2 linked regions of the Elephas maximus indicus genome follow. The protein of the gene in region 1 purifies or fractionates together with the protein of each later gene. This does not show direct contact. Links are inferred from orthologs where the notes say so. Each region holds a gene or a part of one and is shown in the gene's direction. Other genes may lie near its edges.

What was found.
Region 2: the proteins of CCND1 (region 1) and cyclin-dependent kinase inhibitor 2A-like purify together in Homo sapiens (affinity purification with western blotting; 3 studies listed by BioGRID and IntAct, with this or other methods). This does not show direct contact. The link is inferred for Elephas maximus indicus from reciprocal best matches to the Homo sapiens genes CCND1 and CDKN2A.

The regions. Positions count from the first base shown.
Region 1 is NC_064825.1:132,455,648-132,463,656, forward strand, and holds the start of CCND1 (G1/S-specific cyclin-D1), read left to right. Parts: upstream 1-5,009; 5' UTR 5,010-5,250; coding exon 5,251-5,448; intron 5,449-7,017; coding exon 7,018-7,233; intron 7,234-7,836; coding exon 7,837-7,996; intron 7,997-8,009. UniProt on the Homo sapiens protein: Regulatory component of the cyclin D1-CDK4 (DC) complex that phosphorylates and inhibits members of the retinoblastoma (RB) protein family including RB1 and regulates the cell-cycle during G(1)/S transition.
Region 2 is NC_064827.1:31,844,034-31,851,510, reverse strand, and holds the start of cyclin-dependent kinase inhibitor 2A-like, read left to right. Parts: upstream 1-4,474; 5' UTR 4,475-4,499; coding exon 4,500-4,625; intron 4,626-7,477. UniProt on the Homo sapiens protein: Acts as a negative regulator of the proliferation of normal cells by interacting strongly with CDK4 and CDK6. This inhibits their ability to interact with cyclins D and to phosphorylate the retinoblastoma protein.

The DNA.
Region 1 (8,009 bases):
CTTCTCCCCTTCCCCTTCTGCCTCCATGTGACTGCGGCGGGGTGGGGGGTAGTCCTTGACCAAGGAGAGGAGGGCAGAGAGAGGCGTCTCAGAGTCCCACTGACCCGTCCACTTCTGGGGGATCACAGATCGCAGTCCACCCCTGACCCTGAGGAGCAGAGGCAGAAAGCAGCCGGGTCAGAGGAAGCCGTATGAGATGCAGCCGTAAGCTCATTTTTTTTTTTCTTTTTTTATCTTGACTTGACACTCAGGACCGTTCAAGACTTAAAATTAAAAAAAAAAAAAAAAAAAGTTATCTATTTTATGGGCTTCTTCCTGTTTTTTTTTTTTTTTTTTTTTTTTTGGTAAGCATCTCCTGGATTCCACTTCCTAATCGCGCGGGACATGGGACTCAACCACCGACTGATTTTGATTAAAAAAGAAAAGAAAACTGTCAGACGGCTGCGAGGCCTCTTCTGCACTTCTGTCACTCCTGGTAAAGCGGAATGGTCACCGGTCCGGTTCTGTCGCGTCCCTCAGGTGGACAGTCACCCTACTGCAGACACCCCTAGGGTCTGAGCATCCTCCTACCCGCCAGTCTTTACAAACGAACATATTACGCCCGCAGCCCGACTCTCCTTATTACTTGGAAAAGCAAGCGCTATGGGCGGGAACCGGGGGCTGGCTCCGCACCGCCTCGGACCGGGCGTCCACATTCCGCACCCTGGGAGGTCCGCAGTGGTGGGAAGCGTTGAGTGCGCGCCTTCTCGAAGCCTTACGGTAAGCGCGGAGCGCAGAGCAACCACGTGGCCGCGGCCCTAGGGCCGGGCGAGAATCCGCGGAATGTGCCGCGCGTCCTCGCACCGCTGGGAGCCCCGGCCCAGGTCAGGGCGCGCGCCCCCCGCCCTAGCCGGGCCTCCCCTTGGCCCTGGCCCCGGGCACACGCGGGCACCCGGTGGGTTTGGGGGACGGAGCGCGGCCCAACTGGCCCCTGGGATCCCGTGCGCCTAAATCCCCTAGTCAGTCGCGACCCCGGTCCCTCCACAAAGCCCCCGACGGCTCGGGTTCGAGGGTCCCCGGGGAAGGGGTACCGGAAGCTAGGTTTGAGCCCCATTCCCCCAAGCCTGCGAAAAAGGCTCCGTCCTCCTCCTCTTCGCCCCCCCTCCCCGGCAAGTATCGGGAGTTCTAGAACTCGGAGTCTCCCCACCGGAGACCCCGGCCGTCCCACCCACCCCCAGGGCCAAGGCGAAGCGTAGAAACGCTTTCTGGAGGGATCCACAGGGGGAAGCCGGCTAGAAAGGCGGGGGGTACGTCCCCGCGGAAGATCCTCGAGAAAGGGCGGGGGAGGGCAGGTGACAGGCCCCGGGGCGCGGGAGGGACGTCCTGCTCCCGCGGGGCCAGGGCGCGTGGGAGCCGACGACGGTCTCAGCGTGGTCCCGCCGCCTGCAAAGCCGCAGCCCCAGGCTCCGTGGCCCCGCTGGTCCTGGAGCGGCCCCGCGAGCCCTCGCACCGGCAGAAGCCCTCTCAGACATCCAGGGGCACGTGGCCTCTGAAGTCATAGCCCCCATCCCCGCCCGAGTTCTCCGCCTTGGCTGGAGAGGCTTTCTTCTACACCTGGGCGCCCACTCCCCACTGGGAGCTTGAGCCGGCAGGCCGGAAAATACTGAACTTTGGGGTTCATTTTGCTCAGGGCACCAGGCAACGCGTTTTGAGTGGGCGAGGATCAAGGGGATAGAATCTTCTTTCAACTTCAAGAGTTGCACCTCCTCCCTCGCAATCCCAAAAGCGTCTTTGGGTCCAGGGCCCCACTACTGTTGGGGTTTTTAAGTCCTGCGCCCACTTCGCCCGCGTCCGTAGGGGCAGGCAGTGTCCCAGCCCCGCCGCCGGACGTCTAGGGGCGGGGGGAGCCTGTGTGTGGCTTAAATTAAGGGATCGCTGATGGGGGCGGCGTGGGGTGCGGCCGCCCCCGTCCCAAGCTGCTGGCTACCCCAAGTGGGCGCCGAGGCTCGGGTGCGCTGGGCGGGCAGCTTTGGGGCACGCGCAGTCGGCGCCGCGGAGCCCTTGCGGAGCTGCTGAGCACGTGGCTCTCGGTGCGCGCCCCAAAAGCTAGCAGCGTGGGGGCAGGGGAGCCCAAGCGCCCCCGGAACCCCGCGGCCCGCCTTCGGAAGCGCTTTCCAGTGCGACTTAAGGGCTTAACAATGGAAAACTCGCGGTGCTGGAGCCAAGTCCTTTCAAGTCGCCGCCAGGTATGCGGCTGCAGGTGACCCCACCTGGGTGCGCCCGGTCGCCGTCCTCCCGTGGGGAGGAGGGGAGTGCGGGTGCCGTAGGGCGACGCCAGCGGAAGGTCGCCCCTCTGGCCGCAGCCCCCTCGGGAGAGCCCCCTGCTCAGGCAGCGCGCAGCCGCGGTGGGACCTGGGTCGGCTCCGCGGCGCGCGGGTTCCTGAATGAACGCGTTCCCTTCCCCCTTTGAATGAAGGTTCCCACAGCCAGGGACGGTGGCAAACGCGCGCCGCAGCGGAATGCGCCCTCTCGGGCCAGCGATCCGCCCGGCCGCTGCCACCGCCCAGGGGACCGAGGCGAGGGAGGTGGGGATGGGGGTTCCAGTAACTTAGGGTTTCCTTTCACACGAACGCGGTTTCCCTCCGAATTGGGCCACCCGACCTTTGTCTCCAAGTGGTCCCACGCAATCCACGCGGAGCGCTTTAAACGAGCTCGGAATGCGCAGTGTCGGCGGCGTGGTGGGTTTTACAAACAGTGCCAAATGAAAGCGGCAACGGAAAAGTGCTGAAAAGTTGCTTTACTCTGCAAAATAAAAAAAAATCAAAATGCGTCTTCTGCTCTGTTAGCAGCAATTAACCTCATGGGGCCGGGCGGTGGGTTTCCTCGGGAGCTAGGGGGCCGCCAGGCTGGGCTCTCCCGGCGGGGGCTGGGCGCCGGGCGCTCCCCGCGGGGCCCCAAATTCCTGCGCCTCCCCCACCGGTTCCTGGACGGCTCTACACGCCCGCCGGCCGGGCTTGCACTTTTGCGCCCGTCCCTGAGCCGGGAAATCAACAAAGTTCCTCCTCGAGATCTGCCCGGCCCGCCTAGTAACAGCGCCGCGCCCCCATTGGCTCATGCTAATTCCAGTTTCCTCTCTTTCTCGCCGTGGGGGGGCAGCTCCCTCCTGATCCCGGAGCCCGAGTGGCCGGGGTGGGCGATCCTCCTTATGCCCTGCTGCCCCTCGCCAACGTCGGCGACTCGCGCCTCTGGCCGGGCCGGGGCGCACACCGGGGCGCGAGCCCCTGGACCCTCGAGGCCCTGCCGCCGGTGAGGGCGCGCAGCCCCATAAATCATCGGGCGGCCGCCCGGTCGGGAATTTATGAATGAAAAGCTGCCTGGCCGCCCTCGTGCGCCGGCGGAGGCTGCTGAGGCTACGCCGTGCCCGGGGTCGGCCGGGGCGTGGGTACCCGGGGAGGGCGCATGGCGGTGGGCGCGTCCTGCCCGGTCACCCATCGCCTCGGGGGCTGTGACCCTCCCAGACCCGGAATATTAGCCGCCCTCATTCCGGCGGGGGATGGGGCGCGGGAGGAATCCCCCCTGTCCCCTGGCGGGGGGCGTCTTCATTCGCAGCGTGCGCCCTTTCCACCCGGAGGGCTATCTAAAAATCCGTTTTCTTTTGCGCCTTTACTGTTAGGGGAGTCGGTGGTTTTTAGGACATTAAACTAGGTTCAAAGAGACGTAAATGAACAGTTTTCTAAAGTGGGGACAGGTAGTGTAAAAACAAACAAAAAAAAGTTAAGAATGGGTAAAATAGCCTTTTATTTAAAAAAAAAAAGAAAAAACACACCAAAAAGCCAATCTCCATTTAATAAAAATACCGTATATATTTTTGTGTGTCTTTCTTAAATTTAAGTTAATATTAGGGACCCGATCCTATTACCACGATCACATATAGATTTTGTTTAAAATCATCTGTTCAAGCACCCATTTCTCTCACTTTCAATTGTTCTAATTCTTGCCAGCCCCCTGGCGCTCACAAGCGCAGCCCCAGGGCAAGTTCGAAAGGTGAAGAGACGTTCACAACCCCGGCAAAACCGTGTAGGAAGCTTCCGGTGGTCTCGTCCCAGGCAGAGAGGAGGCTAATATTTCCAGCAATTTAATTTCTTTTTTAATTAAAAAGTGAGGCGGGACAGACCTCTGTTTCGCAGCCTTCCATTCCAAGGTGTTTTTCCGCTGTTGAAATGCCGGGACTGGGGGAGGGGACACTTGGGGACCCCTGCAAGGATGTACTTGCCAAGGTAGGAGGACAGTCCGCGGATCCCTCAGGCGAGCAGGACAGGATGATGGAAATGCTGGCCACCATCTTGGGCTGCTTCTGGAATTTTCGGGGATTTATTTTATTTTATTTTTTGAGCGAGCCTGTGCTGGGCTGAAGCCCCTTTTAACGTTTAGGGTTACCCCCTCGGGCATTTCCAATGACCCCCCCGTGGGCCGGAATGAAGGTGCCACCAGGGTCCTATGCTCTGCCCCGCGTCCCCGCCTGTTAAACAGTTCCTGAAATTTACACGTGTTAATGAAAATGAAAGAAAAGGCAGAAGCTGTGATTCCTTCCTTGGCCGTCCCTCCGCCCGTGGGTGACCTCGTGGCGTTCTCGGAAATGTGCCCATTCTCCCGGCTCGGATATAGGGTGTCGCCGAGCCCCAGCGTCCCCCCTCCATGCGGTCTCCCCAGGCTCCGTGTGGCCTGCCCGCCCTCTTCGTTGTCCCCTTCTGCAACGCCCCCTCCCCAAATCCCCGGGGACCACTTGGAGGGAACCGGGCCCCCCTGCACCCCTCTTCCCCCGCGGGGAGAAAGGCCGCGGCGGGGCGATTTGCATTTCTATGAAAACCCGGCTTCGGGGGGAACTCCGCCGCGGGGCAGGAGCGGCGCCTCTGGGATGCCTTTTGGGCTCTGCCCCTCGCTGCTCCCCGGCTCTCGGCCCGCGCCCCCTCCCCCTGCGCCCGCCCCGCCCCCCCGCTCCCATTCTCTGCCCGGCTTTGATCTCTGCTTAACAACAGTAACGTCACAAGGACTACAGGGGAGTTTTGTTGGAAGTTGCAAAGTCCTGGAGCCTCCAGAGGGCTGTCGGCGCAGTAGCAGCGAGCAGCAGCGGCCGCGCGCTCCTGCGAGGGGCAGACGAGGGCGAGAGAGCGCGGGGCAGCGGGAGGAGCGAGGCCGAGCTCGCGGACCGAGCGGGAGCCCGAGCCTGAGCCCAGCCGACCGCCTTCTCCGCCGCCCAGCCCAGCCGCCGGCATGGAGCACCAGCTCCTGTGCTGCGAGGTGGAGACCATCCGCCGCGCGTACCCCGATGCCAACCTTCTCAACGACCGGGTGCTGCAGGCCATGCTCAAGGCCGAAGAGACCTGCGCGCCCTCGGTGTCCTACTTCAAGTGCGTGCAGAAGGAGATACTGCCGTCCATGCGCAAGATCGTGGCCACCTGGATGCTGGAGGTGCGTGGCGCCGGGCCGCCCTTTGGGGACTTTCTGCAACTTGTTGCCTAAGCCCAGATTGCTTTGCCTCTCATCTCTCCCTTCTTTCACCCTCACCCCAACTTTCCAGTTCGCCGAGGGTTGCTAGGAATCTGTCTTTTCCAAAGAAATAGATATTGTGGGTATTTTTTTTTTTTTTTAACCAGGAAAAAATGGGGATGGGGGTGGGGGCGTTCGAAACTCCCTTTCCTACGGGGTGGAGGGCTCGAGGAGGGGTGCCTTCGGAGAAGCGAGTGGCGGGGGCACCCGAATAAGCCGAAAGGTGCGGGTCGGCAGGCTGGGGGCGCCTTTGGTGGCCCCCTCCCGGCCGCCACCGCCGCGCAGCCCCCGCCTGCGTCCGCGCCTATCTGCGCCTCCTCTCCCGGCCGCTGCGGCCCGGGGCGCCAGCCCCGGGGGGAGGGGGTATCGATTTGATTTTTAAATTAATATCCATGGACACGTATGCAAGGGCCACTCGTGCCAGTATTATGCGCCATCTTTGTTCTTTTATTGCAAAGCAAAAGTGTTTATTAATAATTGGGGGGAGGGTGGGGGCGGGGAGCGGCCGGCGAGGCGCTGGGGCCGCGGCGAGGGGCCGCCCGGCTGCCGGGAGCCAGGCGGGAGGGGTGCGGGAACAGGGTGTGGGCATTTCTGGGGGGACCCCGCTTGGGAAGTGTGGCCCCTTTGTTCAAGCAGCGACCCCTGGGGCTCCCTGCACCGCCAGCTGGCCCGGAGAGCACGCCGGGCTGCAAGGTCGCGTGGCCCCCAAGACACCAGGAATTGGCCCCCGTCTGCGAGGGGCTTGGCTTGGGGGGGCCTGCCCAGAGTCATCCGGGTGTCCGGGGCACATTTTCAGGCCTGCGGTGGGCGTCTGGGGGGACCGCGAGTATTTTAAAATAATTTTTGAAAGTGCGGCGTGGTGCCCTTGCGAGAGGGAAACGGCGCCCGCGCCCAGGGGGAAGGGGTGCCCCCGAGTTTCAGTCCCTGGGGCGCTCCCTGGAGCCTGTAGTGAGCTCCAGAGCCCCGGCCTAGGTAAAGGGCCGTCCGGGGATCGTTTTCAGGGATTTTTTGTGCGCCCACTTATTTTTTTTATATTTTTAAATATTTTTTGAAAAGATGACGTCTGGGGAAATGCGGCGCTGCGGCCTGGGACGCCACCTTTGTGTCTCGCAGGCGGGGCGAGCGCGGCGCCCAACCCCGTGGTCCAGCCCCGCGGCCCCGCGGCCCATTTGGTGCGGGCTCCCAGCCAGAAGGACCCCCAGAGCCCCCAGGTGGGCTGGGGTCTCCCGGCCGCACCGCTGCCCGCGGTGCCCACTCCCGCCCCCACCGTGCCAGCCGCGCGGGACTTTCCCTTTCAGTTTCGGAGGTGGATGGGTGCTGGGGGCGCGCGGGGGTGGGGACGCGTCATCGGAGGCTCAAGCCACCCCCTGCCCGGTGCCTCCCCGCGCTCCGGCGCCGCAGCCCCGGCGCGCGCGGGGTGGGCGTGCGGAGACGTCGGGCGGGGGTCCCGCGCCCCCAGCGGCGGTGGTCACGGCCCCCCTGCCCCTGCAGGTCTGCGAGGAGCAGAAGTGCGAGGAGGAGGTCTTCCCGCTGGCCATGAACTATCTGGACCGCTTCCTGTCCCTGGAGCCGGTGAAGAAGAGCCGCCTGCAGCTGCTGGGGGCCACCTGCATGTTCGTGGCCTCCAAGATGAAGGAGACCATCCCCCTGACGGCCGAGAAGCTGTGCATCTACACAGACAACTCCATCCGACCCGACGAGCTGCTGGTAACCGGGGGACCCCCACGGCCCCCAGGCACCCCGTTTGTTACAGGATCCCAGGGATGGGGGCGCGGGTCGCGGGGAGGCCCAGCCAGACGCTGACAGATCCTCGGGCCTGAGGGAGGGCGGCCACACCGCTCCGGGGCAGGGGGGAGGCCAGGAACAGCAGGCGGCAGTTATCCGGGCCGCCCCCCCATCTCGGCGCCCGCCGCCCCACATCCCACTTTCGACCACGTTTGCACCCCGGAGCGAGGGCGAAAAGTGGACGGCGCGCGCCCTCTAGCGGTGGCGGCGCGCTCAGGGCGCCCGCGCTAATTAATAAGGCCTTTGGTTGCAGATGGTGGGAGGTCTTTTTGTCTCCACTTGTGAACAGTCGGCTTAATGACAATGAGCACGGGGGCCTTTTCACGCGGCACCTTCTCTGTTTTGATCCGGAATTGCGGGTCGTCTGTCCCCCTCGCCCTACTTCCTGAACCCCTCAACAGGCCACATCCCTCCTTCCCACCCTCTGCCCTGCTCCTGGCCGGCATCCCAGGCCCCCCAGGGCTGACCCTGCACCTCTTTCTCTCTCTCTCTTTCTCTGTCTCTCTGCCCGCTTCATCTCCCCAGCACATGGAGCTGCTTCTGGTGAACAAGCTCAAGTGGAACCTGGCTGCCATGACCCCCCACGATTTCATCGAACACTTCCTGTCCAAGATGCCCGTGGCCCAGGAGAACAAGCAGATTATCCGAAAACACGCCCAGACCTTCGTGGCGCTCTGTGCCACAGGTAGGTAGGGTGG
Region 2 (7,477 bases), on another chromosome or scaffold:
TAATAAATTCCATGAACTATAAAGGATAGAGCAGGATAAAGCTTATTTGAAGATATGGACATTGAAGCTAAAAATAGTCTCAAAGGGTTTCAAAGTAAAAAAAAAAAAAAAAACACTTCGTTAGATACACCAATCCAGAGCTATTTCTCCAACACCTTCTATTTTCCTAAAAAAAAAATCTTGCTTATCATAGAATCACCTGACCAATCCGTCAAAGTCTCCTCAGAACCAGAACTTAGTTTCAGAACATACCTCCTCAAATATCCTTCTGATTCTTGTGGTGTGTTGAATTAATGTTCACATCCCATATTACAATTCCTTGGTAATAGAGTTCTGGAGTAGCACCATTGCAAGGCTTTCTTTGGTTCTAATGAAGTAGTGTCTATGACACTAGTGCTATAGTGTCATGGTCTCTACACTCAGCTCTGTCCTTCGGGCCAGTGAAAAGGCTCTGTCTGAGTCCTACTCAGGCACACTGTCATTTCCTCTTAAGGTATTCCAAACCTTCATGACTCTCAAATTTCTTAACCCACCATCTTGTCCTCACTCTTTCCAAACAAGCCAGCCTCCTCATTAATGGAAGGAATTACCTCAACTTCCTTCCTGCCTTGACCCTTTTTCCCTCTTCAGATCTGTCTTTATCCAAATTTATGACGTCCCTGTGCATTGGATTCCATTTCTTATACCTTTCAGGACCTCAGGTCCTATTTCTCTTTTGTCTCTTCTAACTGTTCTTTCACTTCACCTGGCATGTTCCTTCATTGTATGTGTGTCCTCAGGTCTCTTCCACCTTCCATCTGCTTCCCTTCACCGTATATCACCTTGAGCTTTGACGGCCAAACTATGAAAGAATAGTCTACACCAGGTGTCCCCACTTCCTTGCTGTCACATTCACTCCTGGATTTCCTTCTGACTCTGAGTAGCCCTTGTCAGCTTCTTTTGCAGAAGCTTCTTTTTCCAGCTTCTCACTGTATATTCCAGTGAATTACGTCCAGTTTTCCTAAACTTCTATGCCTTTGCATCTGTTCTTGCCTCTGCCAGGAACATCTTTCTCCATCTTTCCTTTCCATCTTTACACTCCCATGCTTTTCTTCAAGTTGGGGTTAGCTCTCATACTGTCCAGGAAGCCTTTCACCTAAGCCACCAGGATGAATTTGGCTCCCTTTTCATTTTCTTGTGTCACCCTCTGCTTCCCTTTGCTCTTGTAAGTGCTTTACATATTATGTCCCATTTAATTCACACAACCACCATTTGAGGCAAGCATGATTATCATCCCCATTTTAGAGATGAGGATACTGAGCACCAAAGACATTAAATAATTTGTTCAGTTAGAAAACTAATAGGTGGAAATATCTAGGTTTAAATCTAGGCAATTTGACTGTAGGGTTGAATTTAACCACCTATGCTCTACTGTTAGCCTCTGAGCTTGTTGGATGAATAAATAAGTAGTAATTTATGTTCTATTTTTTTCTTAAAAGACTGATCAGATTTGAGACAGGTTTAAATTTCATAATATAGATTTTCAAGACTGCCAAGACAGCAGAAATGGAGACCATGGCATTCTCAGGGAAGAGGAGAGGTAAGTGTAAGGTTAATAATAATAACAAACTTTAGAACTTAGAAAGCTCTTTGACATCTATCATCTTGTTCCATGCACCCAAGAAATATATCATGATCCCATTTTACAGATAAGAAATCTGAGGCTGGCAGAACCAGCACCAAGATCCCTGGCTTTATAGTTTATTTCTTCTGGAGTTTTACCCCTCAGGTCTGAACTGATATGAGTAAGTAAACTGGGAGTATGGAAGGTTTTTTAAGGAAAAAAAAAACTGGAAGAGCTTTCACAGTATTATTATTTATTTACACAGATTTATGATAGATACAGGACCAATTTCCAGAAAAGGGCCACACCCAAGAATGCCACAGTCTTTCAGGAGCTCCGATGCAAGTGCCTGAGCTAGTGAACACACATCTAAAACCTGCTGTTGGTATTTCCAAAGCATCAACCTCTATGTCTGTATATAATTCATCCAAGAAATATTTTTGTGTTTCCATCTCATGCTTCCTTCTCCAATACATTGCCTTCTCACAAGAGCTAAAGGGATTCTTGACGTGGCAGTCCATAGTTGAGTTTTAGATGAATACCTGAATTCCCTGAAAGTTTTATTCAGAAATATACTTGCCAGTGAACACACTTGGTTTGAGGTTGGTTGGTTTTCATTGCATACTTTATTTATTTTTTTGAGGATAATGTCTGTAGCTTTCAAGAGATTCTCAAACGGAAGATTAAGAACCATTATATTAGTGATGGAAGCAAATTTTGATATTGGTCTAAAAGCCAGGCATAATTACAAGGGAAATCTGTTCCATCTCTCCCATCACAGCCATATTGCCCCCCTCCCATCATAAAATGTAAAAGGAGCCCTGGTGGCACAGTGCTTAATCACTCAGCTGCTAACCAAAGATGTGGCAGTCTGCTTTGGTAAAGATTCACAGCCTTGGGAATTCTGGCAGTTCTCATAGTCACTATAAGTCAGAATCCACTTGACCGCAACAGGTTTTACCATAAAAAGTCTTAAGCTAACTTAAAAAGAATATTAGATTCCTTATCCATAGTTTGAATTGTTCAAACCATTGCTGCCCAGTATTTGAGAGGTGCCTGGAGGAAAATATAGAAGGCACAGTAGTAATACGTTATGGATTCTTATAAGAGATTTGACAATAAATGTTTAATTGGCATAATTTAAAAACTACATTTTGCCTGACCTAGCAACAACTGAAGGTACAGCAAGGTATTCTGGGGCTTAAGATAAGTCAGCTAAGGATTAAAACGTTAACTTTTAGACAGAGCCGGGTTACCTAGTAGTCAGACTCAGTATGTGCTCAAGGCACCAGCAGGTAACCCATACAATTTTTAAATGTAATATATATATTTTTAAGAGCATAAAAGTAATAATCACGGGAAAAATTAGAACTCTGTTGGATTTCCTTTCGCTTACTAAATTCCTTAGATGCACCATCATGTTTTCTGTGATTAAGGTCTTCTTGGTCTTCCTTCTCTTTTATATAATATTGATAATTCTATCCAAAATATTTTCTTCTCTCTGCCTCAGGAGATTGCAAGCAAATCCTCCAAATGGATAATTTGATAGCTAGCAGGTATTGTGTGCTTGGGATGTGTATCACTGTTCCAAATGCTATATGTAAATCAGGACATTAAAAATTCACAACAGCCCTGTGAAGTAAGTACTACTCTAAGTTCCCCTTTTTATAGCTAAGAAAAGGGCAAGGTATTTCTAGGAGGAAGGAGAGGTGTGGGACGCTGGAAGCAGACCCAGGAGGGGCCCCAGTACAGTGTATCTGAGCCTGTACCGTGATGCACTGTGTCAGTCTCTAGACAGCTGAGCACTTTCTCTGGTCTAGAAGGAACGCCTTATTAAGAATGGGGTCTGTCACCCGAATGACTTCCTCTCCACTTTCCTATCTGCTTATAGGTGGGACTCTTTCCAGTCCGTGTTAAATAGACCCTACCTTCAGAGCCAGCCCTAACTGGCATATCCTGTTCGTATATCTGGCGCTAGTAGGAGGCTTTGCTCACCTCTTGGAAACCCTCGCCCCAGCCACGTGGGTGGGGAGAGGGGAGCAGGCAACCGTTAGACTCTGAAAAAGGAATCTTTGAAGTACGTTTTCTGGAACCATAGGCTCAGAACGCTTAACCCAGGGAGTATCTGGGGAAGAGGGAGGTGTGATTCGGTGATCTAAAAGAAGGGTCGCCTCAGAGTCACAACACCGGGATTACCGATCCTCAGTGAGGCCCTTATTACGAGGAGAGGACAGCTTTGGCCAATTCATCCGAGTACTTACTATAGGGAGGAAGCAATACTTTGCCTATGATATCGAACGCTCAGGTTCGAGCTTGACAGTCAGAAATCCCTGCCCAGCTATCTAAATACTAGGAGAGTGTAGAGAGAAGGGAGGAACCTGGGAGAAATTCCGTTTAGCTTTAGTAGAGGGAACTCGCTTAGAGACTCCTGTGCTCTTCCGTTGGATCGGGGGAGGGGACAGCACCGTGAGGGTGGGGCGACAGGAGGACGGGGGCGGTAGGGGGGCGAGGAGGGGCGCAGGGCTCCCAGCTCCGGCGGCGTCCGCGTGCTCCGGGAGTGGACCGCTTCCGGGCAGGTCTCGCTTCTCGGGGAGCCGAAGGCCGTGCGGCCAGCCGCCGCGTGGGGCGACCTCGGGGCACCTCCGTGGCGTGCTCTAGTGTCCTTGGAGGACACCACGTGATCGGCGCCCCTAGAAGTGGAAAGACGCGGTGGCCCCGCCGGAGGGGTGGGGAGACCGATTCAGGGGGCCGCGGCGCGGGGGCTCGGGCAGCCGGTTTCCGCCCGCCCGGCGGAGGGAAGCGAGGGGCGGGCCAGTCACGAGAGGGCGGGCCGGGCGCTAGGCGGCGGCGGGAGGAAGGGGACGAGGGGACAAGGGAGCGAGGCGCGGGGAGCGGCATGGAGCCCACCGCCGACTCGCTGGCCACGGCGGCCGCCCGAGGCCGGGCCCGGGAGGTGCGGGCGCTGCTGCGGGCGGGGGCGCAGCCTAACGCGCCGAACCGCTACGGGCGCCGCCCGATCCAGGTAGGTAGCAGGTCCCGAGCGGGAGAAGGTGATGGCGGGCTGCTCGGGAGGACGACGGTTGCAGGGGAATGGGAACCGGGTGGCGTTTGGATTCTCGGAAAAGGGGCGATTTCCCGGGACGTTTTCAGAAAAGATTTTGGGGTCGGAGACCTCGTGACGACGCCCCGGGGCCTCGGGAAGCCCCGGAGGGAAGGAGGGGGCACTTGGGGTGCACATCTCTGGAGTGGTGTGACTATAAGAATCTGGCGGGGGGAACATATACATGTGTGTTCATATAAAAAAAAAAAAAAACCAACCCGTATAGACCGAGGTATATTCCAGATACAGAATCTATGAATGAGATAAAACGCGAGATTTTAAAGAAATGTAAGGTTCACTGGGACTATGTAGCCCCAAACTCACAGACCCCTGAATAAAGCTGATCACCTTCTTTCCTGGAGGGACTCCGCTGGAAACCTACTGGCACGTATGTTGGAATAAATGCCGACTGAAATTATTCAGAAACAACTGCATATCGTGTTGATTTTTATTTTAACTGAGTAGGGGGAAAATGTATTCATGTAAAGAACTTAGGACTGAGTAGGGAAACTGCTCGTTGTAAAAAAAATCTTACGACATCCAGGCCTATATAAAAAAAAAAATGTTTTTTAGTGTGATCTTGCCTAAGACAATATTTCCAATTTAGTTACCATCTTAAGAGTATTTGCTATTATTTTTGTCATTTTAACTTACTTGATATGGATTATTTTACTTGGGAGAGAGTTTTCAATTTTTCACTGCTGGAAGGTTCCATTTTTCTCCTCCCCCTCCCTTGTGTGTGAAGGGGGAGGGGGGACCAGGGAAGGTTGCATGTGTTTTTTCTTCACTAACTTCCTAAATATCATGCCAAAAAGTTAATTCTTGCTGGCGGTTACCAGCCTAATTTTATTCCCAGCGGCAACAACGATCTCTGATTCTGAAAAAGAGAATATGTGAAACAAATGCACATTGTAAAAGCTTCATAAGACAAAGGAAAGTAACTGCGTCAGACTTCATGAGTGAATCTTTCCTTCTTGAACCTATCCTACAAAGGATATATATTTTACACACTTTAAAGTACAGTGCAAAAAAAAAGTACAGATATAAGAATAAAATTAAAAATGCCTTAAAACTTGAGATTTTGGGGTCCTGAAATGGCAAGAGATCTTGAAACTAGAGGGGCTGGATAGTTGTAAAAGATAAGTATGAGTCCTTCAAAAAGAATGTTTGATTCGTAATTTAGCATCTCCAAGATTTTGCCAGCAACCTGGAGACTCGGAGTGATGGCCTTAGAGTCCTGGAATACGTTAGGCGAGACCTCATCTGTTTAGATACAGAAAGGAAAAAGAAAGTTGGATAATTACGATTTTTTTATACGGGGATAAGAACATAGAGAAAGGGGCCAAATGAGTTTGATGTAGAACTTCGACCGAATTGTTTTTTAATACAGAATATGTCATTTATAAAAATTCTTTTAAAACAACTAGATTCCAATAAATTGCTTAGCAAATGGATCTTAAGCATCCTACCAATATCGGTTTAATTGATTTGCCTTTTTTGTTTTTGGATTTTTTTTTTTAATATTTAAATGCCCAGTTGCTTTTCAGTTTTTTTCTTATGTTAAAATATAAGGAAAACATTCAAGACCAGTTTTTTTTTGTAGTCCAATTTATTAGGTTAAATTATTTGTGTAGATTTTTTTTAATAACATTTTATTGTGTTCTAGGTGAAAGCTTACACAGCGAATTAGGTCCTCCTTTAACAATGTTTATACAAATTGTTTCATGATACTGGTTACAATTTTCACAATGTATCAGCATTCACCTTATTTCCATTCTGTTTATTCTGTTTACATTGATCGAACTTCCCTTCCTCTCCTTGCCTTCTCATGTTTGCTTTTCAGTAAATGTTGACTGTTTGGTCTCATATAGTTAATTGTTTAAGGGAGCACATTACTCACAGGTGATATTGTTTATTTCATAAGCCAACCTATTTGACTGAAAGTGACCTGCAGAAATAACTGCATTTCCAACTTCAAAGGGTACCTTAGCCCCTGGGGGAGGGGGGACTCCTCTAGACTCTCCATCCAGTAGGTCCAGCCTTTTTTAAGAATTTGAATTTTGTTCTACATTTTTCCCCTGTTCTATCCAGGACCTTCTATTGTATTCCTGGTCACAATGGTTGGTAGCGTAGCCAGGGACCATTTAGTTCTTCTGGTCTCAGGTCAGAAAAAGCTGTAGTTCATGAGGGCTATTAGTTCTGTGGACTAGTTTCTTCTTTGAGCCTTTGATTCCTTCATTCTCTTTTGCTGCATAGAGGAGAGACCAATCATTTGTTTTTAGATTAAGACCAGTTTTATGACAAATGAATGACTTGATTTGGTTGGGTAAACAAAAACTGTGCTGCAATTTTTTTTTTGTGTGGCTGTAATTTGGTTCACATATATTTTCCCTCGTTCTTTTGAAAACTAAATTGGTTTCCCCACTTTTGGGGCAGAACTCAACACCTATAGTATAATTTATTATTTTTCCTCCCTTTGGGCAAATAAAAATAATTTATTTAATTGATACAAAACATAACTAAGTAATTTCTCTTTATACAGTCAGTATCCCCAAGCAAATATAACCAGATAATGGTTATTCTAAAAAGAATCCTCCACCAGCACCCATAACATGGCATCCCAATTCTAAGGCTGCTAAGGTGCACACCATTTTAAAATTCCCCTTTGGAAATTATTTTGTTTCAAAGATAATTTATGTACCAAAGAGACGAGCAGCTCCTGTAGGAGAGTATATGAGTTTCCCATTGCTGCTGTAACAAATTATCACAAATTT